Linked DNA regions of Callithrix jacchus. The protein of the gene in region 3 interacts with the protein of the main gene of each other region in a biochemical or structural test. Links are inferred from orthologs where the notes say so. Each region holds a gene or a part of one and is shown on either strand. Other genes may lie near its edges.

Evidence for each region.
Region 1: the proteins of STX1A (region 3) and SNAP23 form a complex in vitro, tested with the Homo sapiens proteins (3 studies listed by BioGRID). The link is inferred for Callithrix jacchus from reciprocal best matches to the Homo sapiens genes STX1A and SNAP23.
Region 2: the proteins of STX1A (region 3) and SLC6A1 form a complex in vitro, tested with the Homo sapiens proteins (2 studies listed by BioGRID). The link is inferred for Callithrix jacchus from reciprocal best matches to the Homo sapiens genes STX1A and SLC6A1.

Annotation. Positions count from the first base shown.
Region 1 is NC_133509.1:30,175,487-30,182,413, reverse strand, and holds the start of SNAP23 (synaptosomal-associated protein 23), read right to left. Parts: upstream 4,830-6,927; 5' UTR 4,746-4,829; intron 3,318-4,745; exon of another isoform or gene 3,210-3,317; 5' UTR 3,113-3,209; intron 2,591-3,112; exon of another isoform or gene 2,465-2,590; 5' UTR 2,424-2,464; intron 257-2,423; exon of another isoform or gene 178-256; intron 1-177. UniProt on the Homo sapiens protein: Essential component of the high affinity receptor for the general membrane fusion machinery and an important regulator of transport vesicle docking and fusion.
Region 2 is NC_133516.1:68,198,656-68,205,225, reverse strand, and holds part of SLC6A1 (sodium- and chloride-dependent GABA transporter 1), read right to left. Parts: intron 5,757-6,570; coding exon 5,654-5,756; intron 3,952-5,653; coding exon 3,851-3,951; intron 3,096-3,850; coding exon 2,928-3,095; intron 832-2,927; coding exon 727-831; 3' UTR 1-726. UniProt on the Homo sapiens protein: Mediates transport of gamma-aminobutyric acid (GABA) together with sodium and chloride and is responsible for the reuptake of GABA from the synapse. The translocation of GABA, however, may also occur in the reverse direction leading to the release of GABA.
Region 3 is NC_133503.1:9,982,711-9,989,600, forward strand, and holds part of STX1A (syntaxin-1A), read left to right. Parts: intron 1-2,321; coding exon 2,322-2,399; intron 2,400-2,707; coding exon 2,708-2,807; intron 2,808-5,456; coding exon 5,457-5,531; intron 5,532-6,237; coding exon 6,238-6,311; intron 6,312-6,404; coding exon 6,405-6,513; intron 6,514-6,784; coding exon 6,785-6,858; intron 6,859-6,890. UniProt on the Homo sapiens protein: Plays an essential role in hormone and neurotransmitter calcium-dependent exocytosis and endocytosis.

The DNA.
Region 1 (6,927 bases), on a different chromosome or scaffold from region 3:
CCACCTCCTCGAGGTTCTCCCGGCGCCTCCCCTCCTAGCTTCGGGCCCATCTGCCGAGTAAGGGCCAGGGCGCCCCCTCGTCCGCTTAAGCCTGACCCAACCAACTTTTCAACCAATACCATATACTCTCAGACTTCATACCGGTCAGCTCCCTCCATCCCACTCTTGGAGACTCACCAAGCGGGTGAAGCCACTCCTCTCCGGCCGCTGTAGCTGCGACACCCCAACACCAGACCTGGCGCAGTGCCCTAGTAGCGCCTGCGCGCGCCCAGGCCGCGCGCCTGCGCACTTCCCGTGCGCCGCGGACGCGAACACACCCCTGCAGCTGGAGCCAATCACGGTGCTGGGGGTTTAAATCTCCCTGCCACGCTGGCGGAGAGCCTGGGAATTCATCAGTTAACCGGATAGATTTCAGTCCTGCCCGAGTCTGGGAGGTGTTCATTCAATAAACATTTACTGAGGGCAAACCGTGTACCAGGCACTGTGCCAGATGAACGCTAAGGAAAAGAAAGCGAACAGAAAGCTTTCTCTGCCCTTCAGCGCCTTTCAATCTGTCTAGACTAAGATATAGATATGTAAACAAATTATAGTGGATGGAATACAGTGCATAGTACATTGAAAATCCGAGGCGTCTTTGGCTGATAATAAACAAAGCGTTTCATTCTTAGGGGTCTCTGGAAGTGTTCCCGGAGGAAGTGACTTGAGTCATGAAGGATAAGTAGGAGTTACCCCGGAAATCCGGCAGAGAAGGAGCTAGAGTTTCCCAGGTTCTGGGGAACAACTTGTGTCAAGAACAACATAACGCATTTTGGAAATTTCTAGCAGTGTATCCTCGCTAAAGGCTTAGTGCTAATCGTACATCCCCGAGTGTAGAGGAAGAAAGCTTTAAAAGGTCAACAATGGCTAGATTTTGGAAGGTCTTGGAATTTTGGACTAATTTGTACTATGCGCACTGAAAGCTATTGAAGGGTTTTAAGCAGATGGGTGATTATTGTAAACCATTTGCTGCAGGAACCTTTCCACGCACCTCTAAGAATAAAACAAAGTGCTGGAAATCAAGAAAAGAAAGTGCTTCAAAAGGAAGTAGTCTATTCCTAAGGTATCAAGGAGGACGAAGCCTGAGAAATGTTTAAATTTAGTAACACAGTGGTCACTGATTATCTCAGTGAAAGCTGTTTGGTGAAATGCTGGGGTTGAAAGAAACAATAGTTTGGAGATGGGGGAGATGTAGAGATAGGGACAGGTTGTAGAATGCTTTTGGAAAGGTTGGCCTTGACAGGGAGGAAGGAGGGAGGATGATGAAGGATCAAGATTTTTTGTTTTTGTTTATTGGATTTTTTTTTTTTTTGAGACGGAGTTTCGCTCTTGTTACCCAGGCTGGAGTGCAATGGCGCGATCTCGGCTCACCGCAACCTCTCGCCTCCTGGGTTCAGGCAATTCTCCTGCCTCAGCCTCCTGAGTAGCTGGAATTACAGGCACGCGCCACCGTGCCCAGCTAATTTTTTGTATTTTTAGTAGAGACGGGGTTTCACCATGTTGACCATGATGGTCTCGATCTCTTGACCTCGTGATTCACCCACCTCGGCCTCCCAAAGTGCTGGGATTACAGGCTTGAGCCACCGCGCCCGGCCTAATTTTTTTTTTTTTTTTTTTTTTGAGACAGAGTCTTGCTCTGTCGACAGGTGCCAGGCTGGAGTGCAGTGGCGGGATCTCGGCTCACTGCAACCTCCGCCTCCTGCGTTCAAGCACTTCTCCTGCCTCAGCCTCCCAAGTAGTTGGGACTACAGGCACACGCCACCATGCCCAGCTAATTTTTGTATTTCTAGTAGAGATGGGGTTTCACCATGTTGGCCAGGATGGTCTTGATCTCTTGATCTCGTGATCTGCCCACCTCCCAAAGTGCTGGGATTAAAGGCGTGAGCCACCGAGCCCAGGTGTTTTTTTGGGTTTTTGTTAAAATTAAGACAGGAGAAATTTGAGCACTGTAGGGAAGATTCAACTGAGAAATAATGTTCGAATAAAGGAAGAGAAGGGATAGTCAGTAGGGAAAGTTCTTGAAAGGGTAAGAATAGCAGCAGTTTCGAGGCAGTTCAAAGCACTGGTGAGAGGAGTGGTTTTGGAAGAAGTGAGGGAGGGAGAAAGAGAGAGAGTGAAGATACTTCCTTCCCCAATTATGAGAGGAAGAATGTGTCTGTTTGTATGTTTAGTAAAAGGAAGTTAAAGTTCTCATTTGATGACCTGTTTTCTCTGTGAGGTTGGAGATAGGATCATCTGACAGAAAAGGAGATAGTATTGGGAGTTTAAAGGAAAGTTGAGAAGATTTGGAATATTGTAGAAAGTAATACAAGAAATGGATAGAAAAACATTGTAGGACTGGTAAGCAGTACTGAGGGCCTTTTTAATATGGGCAAAAATGAACTCACCATTTTCTCCCTTCCTGTGTAGCTTTCTCAAGCAGTAGTCACTTTTCAAGGGCAGAGGTGGAGAAAATGCACAGTTGAGTTCATTTAGGGTTGGGATGGTCATTGATAATAATTCCATGGTTCTCAACCAGGGACACTTTTGTCCTCCAGAGGATATTTAGCAATGTCTGTGATAACAGGGAAATGGGGGGTGGATACTACTGGCATCTTGTCCAGTGATGCTGCTAAACATACACACACACACACACATACACACACACACACACAGAGAGAGAGAGAGAGAGAGAGAGAGAGACAGACAGAGAGAGAAAGAGAGACAGGGTCTTGCTCAGACTGGAGGGCAGTGGTGTGATGTTGGCTCACTGCAACCTCTACCTCTGCAGCTCAGATCCTCCCACCTCAGCCTCCCAAGTAGCTGGGAGTACAGGTGTGTACTACCACACCCGGCTAACTTTCATATTTTTTGTAGAGATGAGGTTTCACCATGTCACTTATGCTGGTCTCAAACTCCTGGACTCAAGCGATCTGTCTGCCTTGACCTCCCAAAGTTCTAGGATTACATATGTGAGCTAGTGCTCCCGATCTGCTGCTAAACATCTTATAATGCACATAATACCCTTGACAACAAAAAAGTATATGTTCCAAAAATGTCAGTAATCCCAAAGTTGACAAACACTAAAGTAGCTTACCTTAATAATCACCAATATCTGACTGTGGTCTTCTAAAGGCTTTTCCTTGAACGATGGGCCAGAGTTTACAGGGCAAAATAGTTCTTCCATTGCATGCCTTTGAAGGAGAGTAAAATGAGCAGCATACCATAGCCCTTGAGTGTTTCAAGGACTTGTGATGTCACAAACACAGAACTGGAAGTTTCCTGAACCTCTAGAAGCAAATCTGGATATACATAGAGATGAATGTAACTGCTCACTTTTATTTGAGGCATTGACGGTCTGGTTAAACAGAGATGTTATAATCTCAATAATATAAGAGGAACACTTCACATAATGATCAACCTTAATGTCATTTCCTTTATCTGATTAGTCTCAGTCACTAAAATTACGGCTCTGAGGGAATGGGTATGAGCTAAGTTTAATAATAAATATAGGCGGCTGGGCACAGTGGCTCACATCTGTAATCCCAGGACTTTGGGAGGCCGGGGCGGGCAGATCACTTGAGGTCAGGAATTTGAGACCAGCCTGGCCAACATGGCGAAACCCCATCTCTACTAAAAATACAAAAATTATCTGGACATGGTGGTGTATGTCTGTAATTCCAGCTACTTGAGAGGCTGAGGCAGGAGAACTGCTTGAACCCGGAAGGCAGAGGTTGCAGAGAACCAAGATAGTGCCACTGCACTCCAGCCTGGATGACAGAGTGAGACTTCGTCTCAGTAATAATAATAAATGTAGGCTGGGCGCAGTGGGTGACACCTGTAATCCAGCACTTTGGAAGGCTGTTCACTTGAGCCCAGGAGTTTGAGACTAGCCTGGGCAAGATGGTGAAACCCGTTTCTACCTAAAAAAAAAAAAATTATAAATACCTTAGGCATGAGTAAGAATAAAACCAGTTATAATGGAATGTCTGCTCTGTGATAGGCAGCATTCATGGATAAAACACTTGACCTATGTTATTTAATTTTAGCAACACCCTGTGAGATAACATTGTCTTAATTTTAGGGTTTTTTGTTTGTTTTTTTTTTTTTGAGACCGAGTCATGATCTGTTGCCAGGCTAGAGTGCAGTGACGTCATTTCGGCTCACTGCAACCTCTGCCTCCCGGGTTCAAGCGATTCTTCTGCCTCAGCCTCCTGAGTAGCTGGGACTACAGGCGCCCGCTACCATACCAGGCTATTTTTTTTTTTTTTTTTTTAAGTAGAGAAGGGGTTTCACCATGTTGGCCAAGATGGTCTCCATCTCCTGACCCACCCACCTCGGCCTCCCAAAGTGTTGAGATTACAGGCATGAGCCACCGTGACTGGCCCAACATTATCCTAATTTTAACTCAAGATCTTGAGGTTCCAAGAAAAATTTTAATTTACCCAAAGTCGTAAATTATTAGTAGCTAGTCCGAGATCTGAAACTCGGGCAGGTCTGTCCTAAAAGCTCTTGCACCTCCCATTAAATTTTAGTAAATTTTACAAGGAAGGAGTTATTTCAAATTTTAGCCTGAACAGTTGCCACTGACTAAAGGAAATGGCGGGACACCAAGGAAGGAGCTAGAGGGAGGCCGGGAAAGAACAAGGAGAAATAAAGAAAATGAAAAAGGGACCAGGGAGACTGTTCATAGCGTCCAATGCTGCGGACCGACTCTCCCGCAAGCTGACCTGCCTTTGTTCTTCCTCCATTCTTTTTGAGAAAAACCTCTTCCTGTGTGTCCGTTGTTCACTCTCTTGTGTTCAAATAAAGCTAGATTATTGAGAACGGCTGCAGGCAAAGGAAAAAAAAGAGCGTGACGGCCTCGCTGTGCGCCTGCGCGCTGGCGGCGGCTGTGGCAGGGCCCGGCGGGGAGCGGGTCCGGAGCAGGCTCCCGGACCCAAAACTGAAGGGGGGAGTCTGGGGCGTCAGGGAGCTCCCTCGCCTGTCTCTCGGCGGCCTGATGGAGTAAGAGGGGTTGGCTGTGAATGTGAGTATCGATGGGCCGGCCTGCGTTGAGCGTATTGGAGCCCAAGGGTCCTGGTGGTCTGTCCCTTAGGGAGATTGTGTGGCTGCAAGACGCGGCCCGCTTTCTGCTCCGGCAGGCTGCGGCGCAGGGGTAACCCAGCGGTCCACTCTCCCAGAGCCGGCGCGGGATTACAGGCAGGCGGTGCTGCTGGCTTCGGGGTACGGATTTTCGTGGGGGCGTTCCAGCTCTGCTCCCAGCCCCAGAAGGAAATGTGGCTCCAAAGCCTTGACCTTTAGGGGAAGCCGCTGACCTTCGGTCCTCAGTTGGGCAGGGAGTCCAAAAGACCCTGGTGCTTAAAGCCGGTAGTCTCAGGTCCCGCGACACATTTCAACCTCTCGCGACTGACAACCTTCGTTCCTTTTTCTCCTTTCCTTTCTCTCCGTGTGTGATGTATCTTAATAATGGCAACTAATTATGGAGCGGTTACTGTGTTCATTTAATATTTAGTCAGAATCTCGGTTTATAGTTATGGAGAGGAAACGCTTTACACCCTCCTCCCATTTCAGTTTGTTGTTTAATCATCTTTGAGAGTAAGATTTGTTGAGAAGTTCGAGATTCGCTTTTAGCAACTTGAGACTGCCATTCTAGGTCAGGGAAGTTCTCTTGCTTAGCAAACAAGTGCTGTATCCACCGTAATGGTTTATATCCAGCCTATTCAAACCACAAATAACTTTTGAGTACTTACTAAGAGTTTAGTACTGTTGTAAATCCCATGGGAAACCTTAAAATTTGCTTTAAGGGCCGGGCGCGGTGACTCATGCCTGCGATCTTTGGGAGGCCTAGGCGGGTGGATCACGAGGTCAAGGAGTTCAAGACCAGCCTGACCAAGACGGTGAAACCCCGTCTGTACTAAAAATACAAAAAATTAGCCGGGCTTGGTGGTGGGCGCCTGTAATCCCAGGACTCTGGAGGCTGAGGCAGAGAATCGGTTGAGCCCCAGGAAGCGGAGGTTGCAGTGAGCCGAGACCGCGCCACTGTACTCCCTCCTGGGCGAGAGAGAGGCTCAATCTCAAAAAAAAATTTTTTTTTTTTTTGCTTTAAGGCCCGTTCTCAAGTTTGGTCGTGAATGAAATAAGGGACGACAGTATTCAGATGCAACTAGAATTTATTTAGTATCTACTACACAGTTGCCAATTACATTTACGTGTGTCATAAAAATATTAATGAGATATTGTAATGGAAAGTAGGTTTCTGCAGCATTTCAAATGAGATCGCTGGGATTTTGCTAGTAATTTGCTCAAGCTAAACTAGCTAGAGTAGGTGGTGAAATTCACTTAATACGATTCCAAAAGCACGTCTTTTCCCAAGCAAACTGCATTACAGTTACAGTTTCTAGAGTTAACTTTTTTTTTTTCCCGGAGACGAGTCTTGCTCTGTCGTCCAGGACAGAGTGCAGTGGGGCAAACCCTGCTCACTGCAATGTTTGCCTCGCTGATTCAAGCAATTCTCCTGCCTTAGCCTCCCCAGTAGCTGGGATTACAGGCATCCACCACCACCCCCGGCAAATTTTTGTATTTTTAGTAGAGACACTGTTTCATCATGTTGGCCAGGCTGGTCTCGAACTCCTGACCTCAGGTGATGCGCCCACCTCAGCTTCCGAAAGTGCTGAAATTACAGGCTTGAGCCACCTCGCCTAACCTGGATCGTTTTGAGTAAAAGGAAGATACTAAAAAGACCATAGATTTCATCTGATTTTTATCTCTGGAATTCTCTTTTAATCTAGAACAGTTACCTTTTCCCCTCTCTTTCCCTCGATACCCCCTCCACGTGAGTTGTTGAAAGGACCTGGTCAGTTATCTAGATTTGTCCCTGATTGGTTTCTGGTGATAGCATTTCACTTGCTA
Region 2 (6,570 bases), on a different chromosome or scaffold from region 3:
TGGATTGCACTGGGCCAGGTCCAATCAGAATGGCCCGGCGGGGAGGGGACAGGGACATTGGGCTGCAGAATGCTCATTCATTCGGGCAGCGGGGACAAGGACACGCTGCAGATTGCGGGAGAAGCGGCCCTGGGAATATCGACTGAGGCCCCTGGGTTTTTTTTTTTTTTTTGTCCAGCTGCCTTGGAAAGGAGAAAACCAAAAACACGAAAGCCAGAGCTCCACTGGCTCCTGCTACTTAAGAGCAAGCGTTCCTGGGAAGTCTCCATTGTACAAAATGCCCTTTTCCTGTGCATGGAGCAGCGTTCCGAGGGAAAGGAACTCCTGCAAAATCCGAGATAACAGTCATGGGTTTCGGCAGTGAGAGAACAGTCAGGAACAGGTCTAAAAGCCAGGAGCACGTGTGGCCTCGCTGCATCACGCTCCCTGGCGGGATAAAAATGATCTACCGCGGCGGTTACCAAGGCCGATTGTGGGATGCTGATGGGGCCTAGATTAAAAAGGTCACCAGTCCACCGGGTACCAGAAGCCACTGGGTATCCTTGCCCACGGCAGGGCCCACCCAGAGGTCTAACTGTCCTCCCACCTCCCCTCTCTGCGTGGTGATGGTGTCTGGACTCGCCACTCGAGGTAGGTTGAGATAGAAGGTATCCTCAGACATCAAGTGGTGGTCGTGCTCAGCCAGGTCGGGGGGTGAGAGTGTTGGGTCGGCGAGCGGCCCCCACCCTAGATGTAGGCCTCCTTGCTGGTGGAGCTGCCGGCCTGAGGCTGCTCGGGACCATTCTCCGGGCGAACGATGTCTTCGCTGGGCTGGACCATGACTTGGATGCGCTGTGGGCACCAGGGAGGAAGGCGTGAGGCTCTCTGGAGAAAACCCCAGGCTGGGGTGGACAGGACAGGCTGTGTCCTTTTCCTGCCCTCTCTTCAAGCCCATCCTGTCTGCTCTGCCTCCAAGCTACACCCAGACTCCAGCACAGCCCCGCATCCTGCCCCACATGGGTCATGCCACAGCCCTTCTCACTTGGGTTATTGCAACAACTCCCAGCCCTCAGCTTCCACTCCCGCCTTCATTCTGTCCTCTCACCCCTTCATTTTGTCCTCAACATAGCAGCAGGAGAGTTCTGTGAAAACCAGACTCAGATCACGTCCCTCTACTACTCAGGACCCAACAGAGGCTCCCATTTCACTGAGAAGCAGAGCCAAAGTCCTCCAAGGCCTTACATGACCTGGCCCCTGCCACCTCCCAGTCCTCAGTGTCCTCCCTTCTCCCTCGTGTATCCATCCCATCCACATGGGACTCCTCAATGCCCCGCAAACACAACAGGCACGCTCACAACCAGGGCCTTTGCACAGGCTGCACCCTCTGTCCGGCACAGTCTTTCTCTCAGATAGTGACAGCTCGCTCTCCGCCTCCCAAGTCTTGGCTCAAATGTTTTGCCTTCTCAGTGAGGCGTCACCTGGCACTCCCTAAACCCCCACCTACTTGATTTTTCTCTATAGTGTTCTTCCCACCCCACATGTTTTTTTTGCTTGTCTTCCTCTACCAGCATGGGAGTTCTAGGAGGGTGTGATTTCTGCTTATCTTGTTCACGGCTGTGTCCGCAGCATGGACAGTCTTGCCTGGCACATCATCAGGGTTTCATCCACATGTGCAAGATGGATAGATCCCCCACTGCCTTTGCCATCCTGCCCCATCAGCTCACACCCTGGCCTCAGGTACGCCCTGGCTCTTCCTACCAATGGGCCTTTGCACAAGCTGTGGTCTTTTCTGCAAGGGCACCCCCTCGACCTCTCGTCATGCCAAGCCCCGGCTGCTGTTTGGGGTTCTCCAGTGGATCATGGAAAATGAAAGCTTTGGACCCACAGTGGGAAGAAAGGGCTACAAGCCCTGGCTCTGGTCATAGCTTCCTGAGCTGGGAACCTGCTCACCCAACCCCTGCGGTTCCTCAGTTTCTCCATCTGAGGTTAGAGGAGGATGGCCCAGTAACTCTGGGGCTGCACGTAACCTACAGCCCGGCTTCCCTGTGCCTTGGACCTGAGAGTGCTTCCCCTGGGCCTGGCAGGTGCATCTCCCAGGGAACTACAGCGGAGAGCTACTTGTCCAGGGCCCTTCATGCTCTGACTCTCCACTCTTCCCAGTGGCATCTTCTCAGCCTGCACACACCTCATCAATGTCTCTGCTTGGTGCCTCCAGCACTCCCTTACTCCCTCAAGAACTGAGTACAGTTTAACAAAGTGCAGGCATGGACAGAGAACCCTATATGATGGTGAGGCCCTTGCTGGGGGCAGCAGGTCTTTTGTGCTCTGTCATTCCTTGTGGGTAAGATCACATTTTCTCTATATTAACCCTACAAATGAGATCTAGAGTGAGCCCTGGGCAAATGTGATCCCACCCTCCATCTGTTCCAAGCCCTTCATGATGCCCCATTGCCACCAGGATAAAGGCCAAAGTTCTTGTACTGGTTTTCAAAGGCCTTCACGATCTGGCATACCTTCTTACATCCCAGCTTCATCTCTTGTCATGCCCCCTCCTCACACCTCTTTCCTCTTTACCCTCCAGCCACACTGATCTCCCTTCAGTTCACCCGATACGGTTTATACCCCCGGACCTTTGCACATGCTTCCCAACCTCTCCTCCCCTCCCTCTTCTGGTAATCTTCTTTCTGCTTCTACTTTTAAGTCTGGTTTATCCTTAGGCCTCTCCTTTGTTATCCCCTGTTCTGGAAATCCTTCTTCAATCCTCCTTAAACCAGGTAGGGCTGAGGCAGGGCTATTTGCTCCCACCCCCCTGCCTTTAATACTCTATTGTCTTTGGCTGTTGGTTTGTCTGTCTCCCCAGCTAGACTGTGAGCTTCATAAGGGGTGGGGCTGTTCCTGGCACAGTGGGGGAAGGGCACTGGCAATTTGGAAGGTGGGAAAGGGCTTACCTGCTTCAGAGAGCCCTTTAAGGTGAGGAACATGTAGGCCATGTACCCGGGGATGAGGACCATGGAAGACAGAGCCATGAGCCAGCCCACACCTTGGCCCCACTTGGGGAAAACGTAGCTTCCCATGGTGAGAGGCGTCATCTGCACAGCACTGAAAATGAACACACCCTGGAGAGGGTGGAGGGGAGGGCATGGACGGGGAGGAGTCAGTCACAGAATGGACCACCCTGAAGCCAGCAGGCCGACTGCCCTCTACCCTTGCCTGGAGGCTGACCCAGCACCTTATGCACTGCTAGCACATAAGGTGCTTTTGTACATAATAGAAAAAGACACCCTCTCAGGGAAGATCAGTACGAAAAGGCTACCCCTCCAAGGAGACTAATTAGAAAAGGGAACCCTTTCCTCCAAGTTCCCCAGCTTCGAAAGCAGAGCAAGGGTGAGGTATCAGCTCCTGGTGTGCCACTGGCAGGGTCCCCTTATGTGGGACACAACATATGTAGTGGCTCTGCCCCCACCTCAAGGACCTCGAATGGCTCCTCCCTGGCCTGCCCCTGCTTCAGCTCCTGCTTGTGGGAATGAGGGACCCTGTGAAGAAGGGGTCTGCAAGTGCCAAGAGCTTGAGCTTCAGAATCAGGCCAGCTTGATTCGAATCCCAGAACTGATTAGCTGGGTGACGCTGGCTAGGTGATCCCCAGATCCTGCAGCAGTAAAGTGGCACAATAATGCCTCTTTTCTGAGGTTTGTGAGGGTGATATATGTGTCTTGTACCACACAGAGTGAAGGACAGATGCCCAACAGATGGCAAAGGAAGTATTATTAAGTAACAGGGTTTCTGGGACCTCTTCCACCTGCCTTTGGACCTGATTTCCCCCAGGGCCTGGTCTAGCCTCATCCTAACAGGGCTAATCAGGTCTTCCTCTTACCGCCACAATGATTGGGGTGAAGAAAGACCAGCAGAGCTTCCACCAGATGCAGGGCCTGGAGCCAACCATCTCTTGGATATTGTCATAGAATCGGTTGACACCTGTGACATTGGGAGCAGGAGAGATGGATGAGCTGTGAGTACTTTAGGGTCAAAGCCTGGTGCTACCACTTTCTCATAGCATGACCATGGGCAAGAACCCTAACTTCTCTGAGCCTCGGTTTCCTTGTCTGTGCCATGGGGTTAATGCTCAGGGGGTCCTTGTTACTAAGTACTTTTCAATAGCCCAGTTCTCATAGCAAGTGTGTAGGTAAGCAAGTAACTTTAATGTGACGATATCTACCAACAAAAGGATATTGACAAGATAATCCCCTGCACCCCTGCCACTCTCAATGTCCCTCCCACTCTACATCTATCCCAGCCATTCCTTCAAAGGCTTTCCTGGGCAGGGGCTGTTTTTCCCTGATATACAGCTGCTATAAGAAACTGGTAATCAGCTGCAAAGAAGAACTGCAAATCTCACAAAAAAGAAAAACCCTAAACCCACAGGGTATCTAGAAGTTCACCAGAGTGGCTGGGCACTGCTCCAATTACAAGCAGAGTCACTGACCAGTGAGGATCTGACCATGTTAGAACAGTTAGAGAGAAAAGGTGGTACTGGGAGTGTAAATTAGTACAACTTCTATGGAAATCAGTACAGAGATTTCTCAAAGAACCAGAAATAGAACCACCATTTGATCCAGCAATCCCACTACTGGGTATCTACCCAGAGAAAAAGAAATTATTACATCAAAAAGGTATCTGTACTCATGTGTTTATTCACAATAGCAAAGATATGGAATCAACCTAAGTGTCCATCAGTGGATGGCTGGATAAAGAGAATATGGTATACATACACAGTGGAATGCTATTCAGCCATAAAATAGAATGAAGTCATGCCTTTTGCAAAAGCCATCATCTAAAGCAAAACAACTCAGAAACAGAAAGTCAAATACTGCATGTTCTCACTTAAAAGTGGGAGCTAAACACTGGGGACAGGTGGATATAGAGTAGAATAATAGACACTGGTGACTCAGAACGGTGGGAGAGTGGGAGCTGAGGTAGATGGTGAGAAATTACTTAGTGGGTAGAATGCACATTATGTGGATGATGGGTACACTTAAAGCCCAGATTTTGCCACTACACAAGATATCCATGTAACAAAATTGCACTCAGATCCTTTAAATTTATACATATATAAAAAAAGAGAAGGGACAATGACAAGGCAGAAGAGGTGGCAGATATTGCAAAGAGGTGATACAGAATATTATGTTTCTTTCAAAACATTTGCTCTGCTGTGACAATCAAATATGCAGGAAAGGATGTTGTCACTTTTTACTATCATGCAGTTGGCTCAGGAAACTTAGGCCACAAAACAAACAAAATCAATGTTTCTCTTGTGATTTGTTTTAAGGTAGTGCACACTTTTCATTACTGCCTAGCTTTTTAAATCTATAACTTTAAAACTTTAAAAAATGGTTTTGGTTTCTGTTTTCTGAATAAAATCTCCAAAACCCTTTTTATTCCAAAATTTATAAAGAAATGTTGGCACCTATTTTAAATGAATTCATTTAACGGCTCTTATATCTTCTAGACATGGGAACCTCCTGGACTAACCTTACTGAATTGTAATGTGAAGAATAAATAAATACATAAATGTAGGGAAAATACCTGGTGTTCAAATTGCACTTGTTGAATGAGGACTGAAGAAAGGAATGAATGGATGAATGAGTGAATAAATAAGGGAGGAGGGGCTGATACTCACCGTAAAACCAGGAAATAGAGACACATTCAAAGAACACGAGAAACAGCAGGCTCATGCCACTGGCAGAGTAGTAATCAAAGAGTTTGAAGACATAAATGCCTCCCTGCAAGAGAAAAAGAGGTAAGAACAGGTGCACTTCCCCCAGTGCCCATCAGTGGATGGCAGCCAGTTCACAGACGACATGGGCTCTGCAGGCTGATGGGGTTGGTATTAGGCTGCATTGCAGCAAGAATGCTTCAGGATAGATTAGATGAAGCACTGAGGGCTTTGTGAGCATGAGAGTACATGGATATTGGCAGTCTGGGGATTGGGAAGGAAATGTTCAGGTGGTAGAGGGAAATGCCAATTTCTGGTACGGCTGGAGGACAGAAAGAGAAGTTGGTCACCAGGGCCGTCTGTTTACAGGTAAATCGGTCACGTCTCTCCCCTACTTAAAACCTTCCATGGCTTCAATGAGACAATAATGTAACACATAAATAAGCAGAGAGAGATCCCATCCCATCCCATCGCATCCCATCCCATCCCAATGTCTTGACCTGCAAGGTCTGCATGGGCTGCTTTTGATCTCGCACCCACTGCCTCACTCCCTCTGCCTCCGCCCCACTGGCTTCCTTCCTATCCCTCAAATGCCTCAGGGCTTTTGCACCTGCTCTACTCTTTCCCCAGATCTTTCTCTGGCTGGCTCTTTCTCATCATTTAAGTCTCAGCTCACTTTCTTGGAGAGAGAGAGACCTCCCCTGACTACTCGTTTGAGGGAGCGCCCCTCCTGTCCCACTGGCCATTCTCTATTCTGCTATCCTCTTTTCTCCAGGGCACCTGACACTCTCCAAAATCATCTAATTTGTCTGTCAGTCTTGCCCACCAAAATGTAGGCTCTAAGAGAGCAGACACGGTAGTATCTGTCACATTAATTGACA
Region 3 (6,890 bases):
AGCAGGAACAAGAATTTATTTTAGCTGCTGGGGAGGTGGTGTGATATCTTGAAGAGAGGAGGCCCCTCTGAGCCGCCTCTATCAAAGCTCCCACCCACCCCCTCTCCCAATGAGTCCCCCCACTTTGCTGGTGTGATGGGAGCTGTGAGCCCCAGGGGCACAGCCCCTCACAGAACATGCTCAGGCCGGGCTCTGTGGCTCCCACGTGTACTCCCAGCACTTTGGGAGGCCACCGTGGGAAGATCACTTGAGCCCAAGAGTCCGAGACCAGTCTGGGCAACACAGTTGGACCCTGTCTCTACAAAAAAAATAAAAAAATTAGCTGTCTGTGGTGGCATGTACCTATAGTCCCAGCTGCTTGGGAGGCTGAGGGGAAAGGATATCGAGCCTGGGAGGTCGAGGCTGCAGTGAGTTGTGATTGTGCCACTGCTCTCCAGTCTGGGTGACAGAGCACGACCCTGTCTCAATCAGTCAATCAAATGAACAAACATGCCCTGCTTCCCCGCTCATCCTCAGCCCTCCCTCTGCGCAGCCAGGTGTCACTGTCCCCATGGCATAGAAGAGCAAACAGCCAGAGGGGTCAAGGCCCAGCCTGATGAGTCCCCTCACTCTCAGCCCCTCAGCCTCACCTGCCTCCATCCTAACAAGAGAGGACCAAGGTGGAGTCAGTGCTAGGCCAGGCAGTGGCCTCTCCCGTGAGGCAGTCAGAAATGAGGGGAACAAGACCAGGCAAGGTGGCTTACGCCTGTAATCCCAGCACTTTGGGAGGCCGAGGCAGGTGGATCACTTGAGGTCAGGAGTTCGAGACCAGCCTGGCCAACATGGTGAAACCCCATCTCTACTAAAAATACAAAAATTACCCGGGCGTGGTGGAGCGGGCCTATAGTCCCAGCTACTCTAAGGCAAGAAGCTAAGGCAGGAGAATTGCTTGAACCCAGCAGGCAGAGGTTGTAGTGAGCTGAGATCACAACACTGCACTCCAGCCTGGGCAACAGAGTGACTCTCTTAAAAAAAAAAAAAAAAAAAAGAGGTAAGAACAAGCCCTGAGCCCCAGGCTGAGAGACGTCAGTCCCTGATCCAGAATGGCCACCCCGGATAGCCTTGCCTTGGCTGCAGAGAGAGAGACGCTGGCCTTGCCAGCCAGGTGGGCTGACCCCGGCTGACTCTTGGTGTGAGGTAGACAGTAATCACCATGCCCAGCATGCTGGGAAGTCAGAAGTATAACTACCCCCTCCCCATGATGGGGGTGGCTTTTGTACAGCGGCTCCTGGGTGGTGGGGTGGGGCCTGCACCTGTGGCTGAGGCCTAAGGCAGGACTCGAGACATCTGGCAACATGATTGGCCCCTCATGCCTGCTGGGCCCAGGTCTGGGGCAGAAGGAGGCAGAGTGAGGTCCAATGTCAAGATTGACAGGGAGGCCAGGTGTGGTGGCTCACACCTATAATCCCAGCGCTCTGGAAGGCTGAGGCAGGAGGATCACTTGAGGCCAGGAGTTCAAGACCAGCCTGGGCAACATAGTGAGACCCCCCTAACCACCGTCTCTACAAAAATGAAAATTAAATTTAAAAATGGTTTTACAAAAAGATGGCCAAGAGATTCTTAGGAGATCTTCTGAGCCATCCCACCTCTGGGCTGGGGTTTAGTGGCGCCCAGCCCTGGAACAGAGTGGACAGGCTTCCTTCCCGTTACAGGGCCCACTCTGGAAAGGGAGCTTGGGACCTCTGGGCTCCACCTGAATTTAAACCACTGGGGCCACTCATGGTTGTGCACACCTATAATTCCAGCTACTTGGGAGGCCAAGGTGGGAGGATCAATTAAGCCCAGGTGTTCAAGGCTGCAGTGAGCTGTGATTGCACCCCTGCACTCCATCCTGGGTGACACAGCAAGACCTCCGCTCTAAAAAGTGTGTGTGGGTGTGTGTGCGAACCACTGGCCAGGAGAGTAGAGATGCTCTTTCCAGGCAGCTGTCCCAAGGGTCTAGGGGACCCAGAGGGGCTGGCCCCAGGCTGGATTGCCTCCCCAGCTGCAGGGAGAGGGTGGTCGGATAGGCGAGGGAGGGAATCCCCGGCCCAGAGGTTGAGTCTTGGCCTTGACACCAGTGTGCCAGGGAAGGTTCCTCTCTTTCTGCCCACCCCGCAGTGGTCCTCCAGGTCTTCCTGTGGCTGAGAGTGGAGGGCACAGCCAGGCCTGTTCTTGTCCCTGCCCAGAGGCCTCCAGGGAGAGGGGGAGGGGTGGGGCTCCGGCGCTGCACCCTGGGCACCTGCGTGTGTACAGGTGGGTCCTATACACACATCCGCTCATGTGTACACAACCCCGCACAGGCCAAGGACAGCGATGATGATGACGATGTCGCTGTCACCGTGGACCGAGACCGCTTCATGGATGAGTTCTTTGAGCAGGTGGGAGCACACCCCACCCTCCCCGCACACTAGCAGACCTCGGGGGGCCTCTTACCCACCTGCACCCGGCTCAGCAGCTCTGGGGTGCCAATGAATGAACCGCTTTGAGGGTGAATAGATGGAAGCTCAGAGCAGAGCTAAATCTGGGATCGAACTCCTCCCCATCTGGGTCTGGAGGGACACACCCCCTTGGAGCCTGCCTGGCCTGTCCCTGAGCCCTGACCGCAGCCCTGCTCCGGGCCAGCCCTGGGCCCCAGAAGCCTCCTCCCCCGATTTCCTCCTCCTGATCACCCGGCCTTGGTCCGCAGGTGGAGGAGATTCGAGGCTTCATTGACAAGATCGCAGAGAACGTGGAGGAGGTGAAGCGGAAGCACAGCGCCATCCTGGCCTCCCCCAACCCTGATGAGAGTGAGTGTGGGGTCAGGGACAGGTTTCAGGTCCCACAGGTCTCCCAAAGGGGCTGCTGCCAGGAAGGCCTCATAGGACCTCAGCAGCCTTCATGGCTGGTGGGCTTAGGTGTGCCTGGGCTGGCCAGGGTCAGAAGGGTTTCATGAGAAGCTTTGGGAAATGCTGCTGTCCCCAGCCTGGAATTGGGGGATCAGTACCCAGCATCCCAGGACAGCCAGACCAGGTATCCACGAAGACTTGGGTGGTGGGAGAGGCGATCGGCTCCACCCTTCCCAGGTGAACTGGCTTTTTTCTAAGGCAACCAGGCTGGCTGCAGCCCTAGGCTTCTGGGAGTGAGGGAGGGAAGGCAGGAGCTGTCTGTGATCATTAGGCACCCTCTCAGCCCAGCCCAGCCCCTCCCCTCGACTCCCAGGGGAGCAGATGGCAGCTCTGAGGCGTCAGCGCTGTGGGAGGGCAAGCTGGCCAAGCAGGCAGAGCTTCCGGAAAGAGCTGGCAGCCCTGGCCCCTGGCCACGTGGCACCCTGGGGGTGGGCATTATCAGGGCTCCAGGAAGTCACCCCTCTCCATCCGGGCTGGGAGCCTGTGTGGGTCAGGCTTGCACTCTGCCCCCAGACAGGCCCCCCTGACCTGGCCCTCTCGTTCCTGTTGTGATATTGGTCACTCTCCTGAGAGGTGCCAGGCTGATGGCATAGGTGCAGGCCCGCCTGGGTCCCCTCCTCTGGAGGGGGGCTCACCCAGAGTCCCAGGGATGCAGCAGTCAGGTGTTTGAGGGAGGAAGTCTCCCAGGCTCAAATGTTCTCACCTCCAGCACGGCTTACCCCCAAGCCCACTTGGGCATCTTCAAGAACTTGGAGTAGGTCTTTCCACAGTGCCTGAACCGAGGTCGAGGTCACACCAATCAAGCCAGTTCCCCGCCCTCGGAAGGCAAAATAGGTCAGGTGGGAGCAGGGTGGATTGCCTCAGTAAGGCCAGGAGGGAGAGAGGGATGCCCAGGGCTCACCACGCTGCGCTCCTTGCCCGAGAGATTTGTTGGATGGCAGCATGAGCCGGATGCCTGTGCGTCTGGAGGTATCTGGGTCACCGTGTGCATGTTTCCCTGTGTGGGGCTGCTCCTGCTCAGGGTCAGGAGGTGGCTGATTGTGGGGTGGGGACAGAGGGCTCTAAACAGCAGGGGAGTGGGCCTGTCATTGCAGGTAGGTGGGGTGGGCGTGGGGCAACAGAGCTGTCTGCTCCATACCTCGGGTCCCCGCAGGCCACCTCCTGCACCGTCTCCCACCTCGGTGTCAAGCACAGTCACAGGGACTGGTTCTGAGTCACCACCTGTGAGCAGACGGTTGAGACCTGGTAGTCCCAGGCTCTCGCCAAGGGGAGGGGGCTCATGTTGGGGGTTCTAGGGCACAGGTGGCACAGACTTAGGGAGGAGTCTCAAGGAAAGATGGCAGTGAGTGGGGGGCTCTCCTGGGCAAGGCAGGCTCTGCCTCCTCGGGGCTGCCATCCGGCCTGCGCTATTTTGGGTCTGAGCAAAAGAGGCTGAGACGTCAGAGCAGCTGGTAACCGAGTTTTCCTTTGTTCCTACGGATGAGGCGCCCTCCTCCGCGCCTCGGAACCCCCTCTTCTGTGCTCCACCCCATCGCATTCCACTTGAGAGGTGACCCCATCTGAGGCCTTCCTCATAGACCTCTCTCAGCACCCCTCCCCATCCCTCTAGAACAAACCCCAGCCCCAGAGGCAGGCAGAGGGGCGGGTGGGAAGGTGACAGCCGGAGCTCAATCCCGGCTTCTCCCAGGGTGGAGTCCTGGGGGTGTCCTGAGACTGGGCTGTTGCCAGGAGCACCCCCAGGGGAGGCAGCTGTCTTGCCCCACTTTTCCAGCTAGCTCCTCTCAGGGAGGGGGCGAGCTGGGCGCCCCACGGCCTCTGCCAGCCTTAGGGAGATGGCTGTAGCTGGAACCAGGACCACACGACACTATCCACCCTCCTCCAGCTTCACCAGGGCCCCGGCTACCTGCCACGGCCAGGGCCGACTGTGCCCACCTCTTTGAACCTGAGGGCCCACATCAGCCCCCACGCAGGCCGTCCGCCCCTTGTCCGCTTCCACCTGCTGGGCACTTAGCACCCAGGGAGGCGCAGCTTTGTGGAAATAGCTGTCTGCCCCACCCAGAGTGTTTGAGCCTGCAACTCAGGAAGTGCGAGGTGGGGGAGGCTTCCTGCCACCCCTGGTCCCCTGTCAGTCCCTGGCTGGGCTGTGTGCCCTCCTGAGCCATTAGGTAACACCAGGTGAGCCCGAACCCCCCACCTTCAACTCCAACAAGCATCAAGTCCCTGTTTCTTGCGCTGACTCCAGCGTCGCCAGCTGCTCCACAATTATTTCTGCCTTAAATTTAGACCCATCTGTTATCTCCAGGGGGTGGGGGCGCCGGCGAAGGAGGAAGGGAGGCTCCTCCGAAGACAGCACAAGAGGGGGTGAGGCTGCAGCTGGTGTGGCCCTGGTCCAGAATTGGGGGGGACAGGCAGAGCCCTAGCCAGGGGAACAGGGGAGAACTGGGATCTACCGAGAGCCCCCCGTTGGGTCCCCTGTGCCAGAGGCCGAGCCTGAACATCAGTTCTTGGGGGAGCCTAGGGGGTCTACTCCCACCCTTTCTACCTCCCCAGAGACGAAGGAGGAGCTGGAAGAACTCATGTCGGACATAAAGAAGACAGCGAACAAAGTCCGATCCAAATTAAAGAGTGAGTCAGGCTTGTCTGGGGTGGGTGGGGGGTATTCTAGGCCTGCTTCCTCTGGGTAGCCCATGGGGTTTTGCTTGCCTTGAGGGGGTGTGCCGGATCTTGCTTTCCTTTCTGAGGGTGGTGTCATGTGCCCATTCACTCAACAGCTACTTGGCAAGGCCCATTGGTGCCAGGCTCTGGGCTGGGCCCAGGGACACACCCGCCCAAGGCTTTGTGGAGGGGGTACTCCACTCTGGGCGGGCACTGCCCCTCACTTATGCTAAAGAGGGTTAAAGAAGTGGCCAGCACTTCCTGGTCTCATGCAGAAGCCCGGTATGCTGGGTGAACCCAGACACGCACACCCCACGCCCTGCAGGAGGACCCCCCCTTGGCTCTCCCCACTGTGGACATGGCCCCTCCTACACAGCCAGCCTCTGAGCAGAAAGGGGGTGGTACCAAGGCACAGGGTGTCCGGAGCTAGCAGACATCATGCACATGCAGAGCCTGGGGTAGGTGTGCATTTACACAGGTGCACACACCACACCGCGTCACAGCTGGAAGTGCCTTTGTAGGCCTCTCCTCCCTCAGTGCCTGGCACTGACCCCACCAGCCACAGGCCACACACACACCCCAGGAAAGGTTAGGAGGTGGATAGATGCTGGGTGTTCGGGTCGGGGCCGAGGGTGAAGGGGGCTGGTTGTGACTCAGCAGCCCCCTACGCCCGCAGGCATCGAGCAGTCCATCGAGCAGGAGGAAGGCCTGAACCGCTCCTCCGCTGACCTGAGGATCCGGAAGACACAGGTGCGGCCCGGCAGTCTAGGGTGGGCGGGCACCTGAGTTTCTGGGTCGGTCCCTGCAGGGCCTGACACCTGTACCTCCATCTCGGGCCCCCAGCACTCCACACTATCCAGAAAGTTTGTGGAGGTCATGTCGGAGTACAACGCCACGCAGTCCGACTACCGCGAGCGCTGCAAGGGCCGCATCCAGAGGCAACTGGAGATCAGTGAGCTGGGGGCGGGGCCCAAGGCAGGGCTGAGTTAGGGACCGAAGGGGCGGGGCCGAGGCTGCTGCTGAGTTAGGGACTAGAGGGGTGGGGTCCTAGGCAGCTACTGAGTTAGGGACCGAAGGGGCGGGGCCGAGGCTGCTGCTGAATTAGGGGCTGAAGGGGCGGGGCCGAGGCTGCTGCTGAGTTAGGGGCCGAAGGGGCGGGGCCCAGTGGTGCTACTGAGCTCCCCGGAGAGGGCTGGGTTCAGTGTGACCCCGCTCGCTTGCAGCTGGCCGGACCACGACCAGTGAGGAGCTGGAAGACATGCTGGAGAGTGGGAACCCTGCCATCTTTGCCTCTGGTGTGAGTGTGGGCCCCACCCCTCCTGCCATGAC